2 linked regions of the Canis lupus familiaris genome follow. The main gene of each other region encodes a partner of the protein of the gene in region 2 in a complex. Links are inferred from orthologs where the notes say so. Each region holds a gene or a part of one and is shown on either strand. Other genes may lie near its edges.

Region 1 (4,380 bases), on a different chromosome or scaffold from region 2:
ATTCTTTGATCTCTATCCCTAATTTTGCCTACCACTGACCACCACATGGCTGATTACCACATACAGGTAATATTTACCTGTATGTCTTCTTTTGTCTCCTCACCACTAACAACACCCAGGAGGACCTCTAGAGCCCGGCATACAGCAAGTACCCAGCAGATGGGCAGGGGCATGGCTGTAGACATGAAGAGCCTGGTGCACATGGCCTCTCATCTCTGCACCACCACCAGCCTGCCAGTACTGCCGAGCAACCCCACACAGCTTTTCTGAGCTTCAGGCTCCTTCTCTATAAAATCTACCTTAACAGCCCTTTAGGAACGTTAGAGATGATTCATTTAAGATCCTTGAGGCACGGGTAGTGGCGAGTACAGTGGGGGCTAGAGAGGCCACTTGGCTGCTCTATAGGCCTGTCCCCAAGGAGTTAATAGCAGTGCTGTCTCTGCCCAGGATGCAGAGCTGGACAGCCAGTAAAGATAAACACAGAGTGAGGAACACGGACTCCATTCTCCATATGATACCATCCCAGGGGCCCCTAAACATTGTTTCTGCTCTACCCAGTTCCCCCACCAAAGCCCACCAGATGATGGCCATCTCTGAGCAGGACCTGCAGGTTGAGAACCTCCTCAACCCTGCTTTGGATCCAGGTGGCCCCAGTGTGGGAAGCAGAGGTGCTTGGCGGGAATGTGTAGGTTTGGACCTTATGAGGTGTGAACCCTATGGATTCTCCTCTGACAAAGGACCCATTTTTGTGAGGTGGGCCACACTGGGCAGGCTAGGTAGCCGGTCAGGTCCGTTTTCTCTGGCTGGTCTTCGAAGGTGACTAGAGTTGTTTCCCTGTCCACCACCAGGGGGCGCCAGAGGCTGATCAGCTCTAATGTGGACTTGTCCCATGGTCTTTTAAGGTGTCTTTCTTCTGGCCAAGGTCTAGGCCTGGGCAGCAAAGGGAAAGCATAGTTCTGGTTCTCTCCCACCTGTCAGCTTCGGCTTGCTGGTTGCTGGCAGCCCACTCAGGGCCACATTAAGGGACTGGAGGTTAGGCTTCCAGACTCAGTGTTCTTTATTGATAAGCATTAGGAACCCCTTGCCAGTTCTGCCCTTAGATTCCCAGCTTTGAGTAGGGAGTGCATCTTTGCCTCTTAGACATCTGCCTGAGTCTAGCTGTGTCCAAGGCTGTGCTTATTTGCCACACTGTTCCCAGGACCACAGTTTTTATGGTTGAAGAGGTGTGTAGCAGGCATCCGAGGGTCATGGCCAAGTCTTTATCCTCAGAGACAACTTTCCATGTAGGAAGTATAAGCTTCAGCTGTGTTGGCTCTCAGAGGGAGCTCCAGGAGCCTGCTGGTTAGATGGAGGGCTGAGCCTCAGAGACCTCCAGATTCAGCCTCTTTTCTCTATAAGATTCTTTTCCTGCTAAAGGTTCTTCACGGCAGAACTGAGCCAAGGGGGCAGCAACTGGCTCTCACTTGTGTCTTGAGGTCCTGGGATAGTGGGCAGGAAGTCTTAAGTGGTACCTCACAGGGGATAGAGATGCCAGAGGCTGTGCAAAGGAAGGGGTGGGGGCAGAGAAACCAGAGAGAGACAATTAAGTCCTTGATCTGATTTCACCAGCCCCAATTCTTGGCCATGGCTTATTGTCCCTGGCCAACCCCTCTGTACTAAATAGATAGTCCCTTGGGTCCTGGGTGCACTCTTACCCCACCATTAGCTCAGAGATAAGGATTATTAAAGCAATGTTCTGCTTTCCTGAGCCAAGCACCTTGGAGATCACCTTCTTGCCTGTTCAGCAAAGCCCCAAAGCCCACATTCATTTCTTCCTCAGGTCAGGGCAGTCCCCACCCTGCGGGCCAGCAGGCTGGTGGTGCCTGATGAAACCCCTGGCTCCCCTGAAAGCCCTCCTGGCCTGTCTCTGACCTGCACTGGAAGCGGGGATCTCCAGGGTGGGTCTGTAGCACCTGACGCACTTCTGGGGGAGGCTCCAAGCCCATCTGCTCCGCCCGATGCCAGCGCTGCAACCGTGTGATCCCTGCCGGGGTGAGAAGACGACACTGGCACCTCATGGGGGGTGGGGAGGAGTTCAGGCTGGAGAATGTGTATGGAGGGGTGTGTCAGGGCCTCCACACCCCCTAGTCTCGGGAGACAGTGCCCGAGAGGGTCAGGCAGGGGCGTGGGTTGCTTCAGGGACCTGCAGGTGACAGGACTGTCTCCAGGATGTGTTCCTGGGGCCTGAGAGGGTTCTCACCTGTGCAGGGCCCATACTGCCAGGCGAGATCAAACTGCCTCAGCAGCTCCAGCTCTGCTTCATCCACGCTCAGGGGCTGGGGCTCTTCCCCTGCAATGACACGCGGCTCCTCAGGCCTGCCCCCGGCCTCGCAGCTGCCCCACTGCTCCCCGGCCCTCACCAGCCCTTTGCCTCTGCCGGCCACTGCCAGGCCTGCAGTAGGAAGTAGAGGACATGTTTCACTTCCCCTCGCAGCACCCCCGTCCGCCCGCGTCCTCGCAAGCCCCTCGCTGGTGTCCAGTGCTCCCGCCCCCCGCACGCGGAAGAGACCTAGCTCCGGTGCCAGCTCCCCCTTGCTGTGCCCAGCGGGGCCCTCCCCCCTCTTCACTACGGGGTAGGAGTCAGTGATGAGCCGCTTCCGGCCCATGGCGGCCACCCAAGCAGGCGGAGAAGGAGGCGGCTGCGGGAAGGAGAGGCCAGCGGGCACGAGAGAGACAGCTGCTGAGAGAGAGAGGGAGAGAGGAGAGGAGAGGGCTGGGGCCAGCGGGCGAGCCCGGGGCCAGCGGCCGGCAGACAGGGCGACCCAGACAAGCCGAGAGGAAGTTCGCCGGTTCCAGGGAATGACGCGCGGCCCCCGCCCCCGCAGGCGCACAAACAGCAGAGACCCAAGCCAATGGTTGGCCGCCTCTGCGGGGCGGGGCCCGACGCCAGCCAATGGCAGGCGGCGGAGGCCGAGGGGGCGGGGCGCCGGCCGCAGCTGTGCTCCGGGAGAAGGGGTGAGGCTGGGTGGGGGACCTGTCGGGACGCCCCAGACTGCGCCTCCTCCTGCTGCCCCCCCGTCGGGCCGCAGCGGGCCTCGGGGGACTAATAGAGCGTTATCCTCGGCCTCTCACTTCCCGTTTTCCCTTCCTAGGCAAATGTTCTTTTCAGCCTCAGTAATCCCCGTGGCCGCTCGCTAACTCCCTAGAGTCCAGCTGGAGCCTCCACTCCCACCCCCCGTCCCGCAGAGCCTTGTGGGGGCAGGTCTGGAGGTCCGCGGAGCGTTGGGCTGATCCAGCCCCTTCCTTCCCAGCTCCCACCCCACCCCCACCGGCCCCAGGAGACCCGGCTGGAGAAGCCCTTGGGTTCCAAAGCTCCTTTCTCACAGTCTGTGCCCAAAGACCCTGCCCACTCTCAGTCCAGGCAAGCGTTGGCCTCGTCGACTCTCCTGGGGTCAGTACGCGCCCATGCCCACCCTGCTAGTCAGGAAGATTCCACACTGAGCAGGAGGCCAGCGTGCTTGTAGCCCCACTTTTTTTTTTTTTTTTATCAGTAAAATCTGCCCTGTCTCACCAATGTGACAGTAAGAGCAGAAAATACCAACCATAAACTAAACACTTACATGGCACTTACGGTGTGCCAAGTACTGTTCTCAGCACTTTCCCACATACTCACTCAACTAAAATAGATGTAAAATGAATGGTTCCTTAAAAAAAAAAAAAAAAAAAAAAGTTCTTTTTTTTTTTTTTAAGTAATCTTTACCCCTCAACGTGGGGCTTGAGCTCATGACCCGAGATCAAGAGTTGGGTGCTCCACAGACGAGACAGCCAGGGGCCCCATAAAATGGTTTTTGAAAGTAGGAAGTGCTGATCATCACAGGCATTGTGGGGCCCCAGTTAAATCACGGGCCCTCTGTGCCCTCTCCACAGAGGAGCTCAGAGGCTAACAGGGTAGGCAGATGGGACACACAAGTTGTCAATGCAAGGACAAAATTACTAAGAAACAGGAAAGGGGAGAAGGGTGGGTCAGAGAGGACTTGGACCACAGCGTTAGCTTAACACTGGAAGACCTCCTGGAGGAGGCGGGCTGCTGTAAACAGTGTCTCTCAATTCTCCACCCATGACCTTTGTCCCTTGGGCTCCTGTCATCGCTGAGTCACCCCTGCACCCGCCTCCCCCTCACCAACTTCCTGGCAGCAGGCAAAAGTGCTGGTCAGTGGGAGTCTGGGAATCAGCACAGGGACCAGCCCAGCTCTAACTGCCCTTTAGAGATCCTATCTGGTTCTTCCAGGAGTACAAGGGTCCACTCAGAAGTTTCTGTCTACAACCTCATCCAACTGCTCTGGGCTCTGGGTGCTCTAAGATACAAGTAAGGTGGGCGTAAGAGAGGAAAAGCTCTGGAGA
Region 2 (2,921 bases):
GAAAGCAGAAAAGCCATAGAGTCCTGTAGTCAGTGAAGTGGGGGTCAGTAATGATAGTGGGGGGGCCCTGGACCCAGGCCCAGGAACCAGGGGGCACATGCCATCAAGGGACTCAAGCACAGATGGGGTTGCTGGGACACTCATGAGTGGACATGGACTGGGCTGGGGGGGGGCCGGGCATCTCTGAGGAAAACCCAGGCCCAGGGCCTATGAGGACCCTGAGGTGGAAACATCGTGGGTGTGTAACATGGGAGGGGGGTCCCCTGGGTTGTGCCGGGGAGTGGGAGCTTCCGTGCGAGGGGCTGCCCCAGGCCCGGCGGAAACAGGTCAGCACCCGAAGGGTGGGGCAGTCCAGGCACCACAGGATATGTGGTTAGATGTTCACCCAGGGGCTTGAGGGAGGGTTACAGGGGGACACTGAGGCAGGCCTGGCTTCCCTGGGGCTGGCAGCAGTGCTTGGAGCCCAGGGGTCTTGGAAGAGAGGTGAGGAAGTCAGCAGGGGGTTTTCCGGGGGTCAGGGGACCCTGCTGAGTGAAGATGACCCACCCAGACCCAGGTTCATGACAGTGGACCTCGCCCACCAGAGACCACAAAGCACTAGGAAACAAAAGGCCTGAACTTTATTAATTCTCCACCACTGCCCTCCTGGCGTCTGGAAACCCGGTCGGAGGTCACCAGGCCTCGGGGCCAGGTGGGCCGAAGCGCCTCAGAAGCTGCTCCTGGTCCTCCAGGTCCTTCCGCACCTTCTTGCGCATGTAGAAGATGGGGCAGTCCCGGCTGCAGGTGGGGTGGGGGTCAGGGTCAGGGCTGGGGCGGCTGCCCAGCCCAGTGATGGGGCCAGGGCTGTTCCCAGGACTTTGGTCCCCGTCTGCTGCCCACCCAGCCCCCCCTCCAGTGGCAGGCTGTTTGCTCAGTGGGCATGGGGGGAGCCGTAACAGCGGGTACCCGCGGAAGCGCTGGGCCACCAGCCGTATATCACCTGTCACCTGGCGTGGGAACCAGCCCCGCCCACCTGTTCCCTGGGGAAAGCCTGGCCTGCCCTGGGGGAGGGGGCCCGACTGCTGTGTGTGTGTGTGTGTGTGTGTGTGTGTGTGTGTGTGTGTATAAGAGGAGAGAGAGAACTGTGGCCATTTCCTGGGCAGATGCTGGCCTGCAGAGTGAGCCCTGCCCACTGAGCACCCCCCCGCCCCCAAGGCTGGGATGAGCCCTGGCTCGATTCACAGGCCTCTCAGGCCAGGGCGCTGAGAAAAGTCAGTGATGTGGGGCAGGGCGCCACCTGGCACCCTGGGGTTAGGGCTCTGGTCCACAGGCCTTGGGAGCCTGGAGGGACCTGGGCAGGCTAGAGCGAGGGTGGCGGGCCTGCTCTGTGTACCTGGTGCAGATGACATCCTCATGCAGGCTGCCCTGACAGCGCTGGCACTGGGTCCAGAGGCGTGAGAAGCGCTCCTCCAGGGCGTTCAGGTGGGATACCTGGGGATGAGATGGCTCAAAGGGGGCCCCCGCCCCAGTCAACTCCTCCTCCCATCATCCCCTCCTCTCCCCCTGACGCCCTCACCTCCTTCTGATACAGCTCTGACTCCCGAGGCTGGCAGAACTTGCACACGGCTCCTGGGAGAGGGGGTGGGTCGGCACAGGGGAGCTGGGGCCCAGCCAGGGCCTAGGCTGCCCTATCCCTGCCCCTTCCCCACCCGCTGCCCATCCCGGCCTCTGAAAGTCCCCGGGAGACAAGAGAACAAGGGAGCAAGTGTGTAGGGAAAAGTCCCCGGGGAACTCCCGGGGCGAGGGGCCCAGGACCCTCAAGGGGGTGCCTGTAATGGGAGCCCCCACCCAAGAGCCAGGGCCCATCCGGGTGGCACTGCCAGCTTGTAGGGCGGGTGCCGGGAATCTCAGCAATGGAGGAGCTGGTGGAGGGTGGGGTCCTGGGTCCTGGGTCTTGAGGCCTGGGTCCTGAGGCCTGGGGTCTGGGGTCTGGGGCCCAGCATTTACCCTGGTGATTGAGGACAGTCCGGCAGCCGATGCAGCAGCTGTGGCGTTTGGCAAAGGCCAGAAGGCCACCCACCTTGCCTGTGAGCACCGTCTTGCAGCGTGTGTGGTCACCCCCTGCAGGTGAGGGCAGACAGTGGACTGGGTGTCCTCCATGACCCAGGGTCCCACTCTGCCCAGCCCCCTTCTGGGCATTCCCCCTCAGTACTCAGCAGCACGGCCTCCGCACGGCCCTCGCCCAAGATGGGCTCGAAGATGCGCAGGAGTGGCTTGGCGAGCTGCTGCTCCAGATAGTACTGTGTGTCGATGGGCAGGCTGTGCTCCAGCACAAAGAGGGGGTCCTGCAAACAGAGAATCCGGGTGGGGTCACATCCTCGGGTCAGCAGCAGGCCACAGGCCAAAGGGCACTGGGAGCCAGGGGATGGTAGGTCTCTCGGGCATGCATGTGGGTAGTGGGGTGGGGCAGTCACTGGGCACGGGTGCTGCCCTGCGTGCTGGGGCATGGGTCTGGATGGTGGCACAGATCCTGAGGGGTCCCCGGCCATAAGCTGTGACCCATGTTGGGTTGGGGTCTGTGGGTGGGAGTCCAAAGGTTCCCAAGCAAGGGTCAGAGTTCATAGCGGGGTTGGGGGTGAAGGTAGATGGTAACTGGAGGTGAAAGCTAGAAGCCAAGATGAGGGGGGCAGGACAGGAACTGGAAACTGAGGAAGGGGCTGTGTGTGGGGGGGTCAAAGGTCACTGGACCCTCCAGTTGGAATGGGGGAGGATGTGAATCCTAGAGTGATGGGTCAGAGAGCAAGGACCAAGGAGAGAGACACACAGAAACAGGTATGGGGAAATGGGGTGCGCACCCTAGGCTGGATCTCCTGAAGGGGGAGTCAGAGTAACACGGCTCCCTCCACTGTCTAATTTTTGAAAAAACTGGTTTTGAGTGTGGG

The links.
Region 1: POLD1 (region 2) and DNA polymerase delta subunit 4 share a complex: the UniProt entries of both Homo sapiens proteins name them as parts of the tetrameric DNA polymerase delta complex. The link is inferred for Canis lupus familiaris from reciprocal best matches to the Homo sapiens genes POLD1 and POLD4.

Annotation. Positions count from the first base shown.
Region 1 is NC_049239.1:50,603,910-50,608,289, reverse strand, and holds DNA polymerase delta subunit 4, read right to left. Parts: upstream 2,865-4,380; 5' UTR 2,646-2,864; coding exon 2,549-2,645; intron 2,330-2,548; coding exon 2,240-2,329; intron 2,024-2,239; coding exon 1,912-2,023; intron 1,538-1,911; coding exon 1,513-1,537; 3' UTR 486-1,512; downstream 1-485. UniProt on the Homo sapiens protein: As a component of the tetrameric DNA polymerase delta complex (Pol-delta4), plays a role in high fidelity genome replication and repair.
Region 2 is NC_049222.1:106,967,398-106,970,318, forward strand, and holds the end of POLD1 (DNA polymerase delta catalytic subunit), read right to left. Parts: intron 2,325-2,921; coding exon 2,192-2,324; intron 2,101-2,191; coding exon 1,987-2,100; intron 1,609-1,986; coding exon 1,556-1,608; intron 1,471-1,555; coding exon 1,373-1,470; intron 778-1,372; coding exon 672-777; 3' UTR 599-671; downstream 1-598. UniProt on the Homo sapiens protein: As the catalytic component of the trimeric (Pol-delta3 complex) and tetrameric DNA polymerase delta complexes (Pol-delta4 complex), plays a crucial role in high fidelity genome replication, including in lagging strand synthesis, and repair.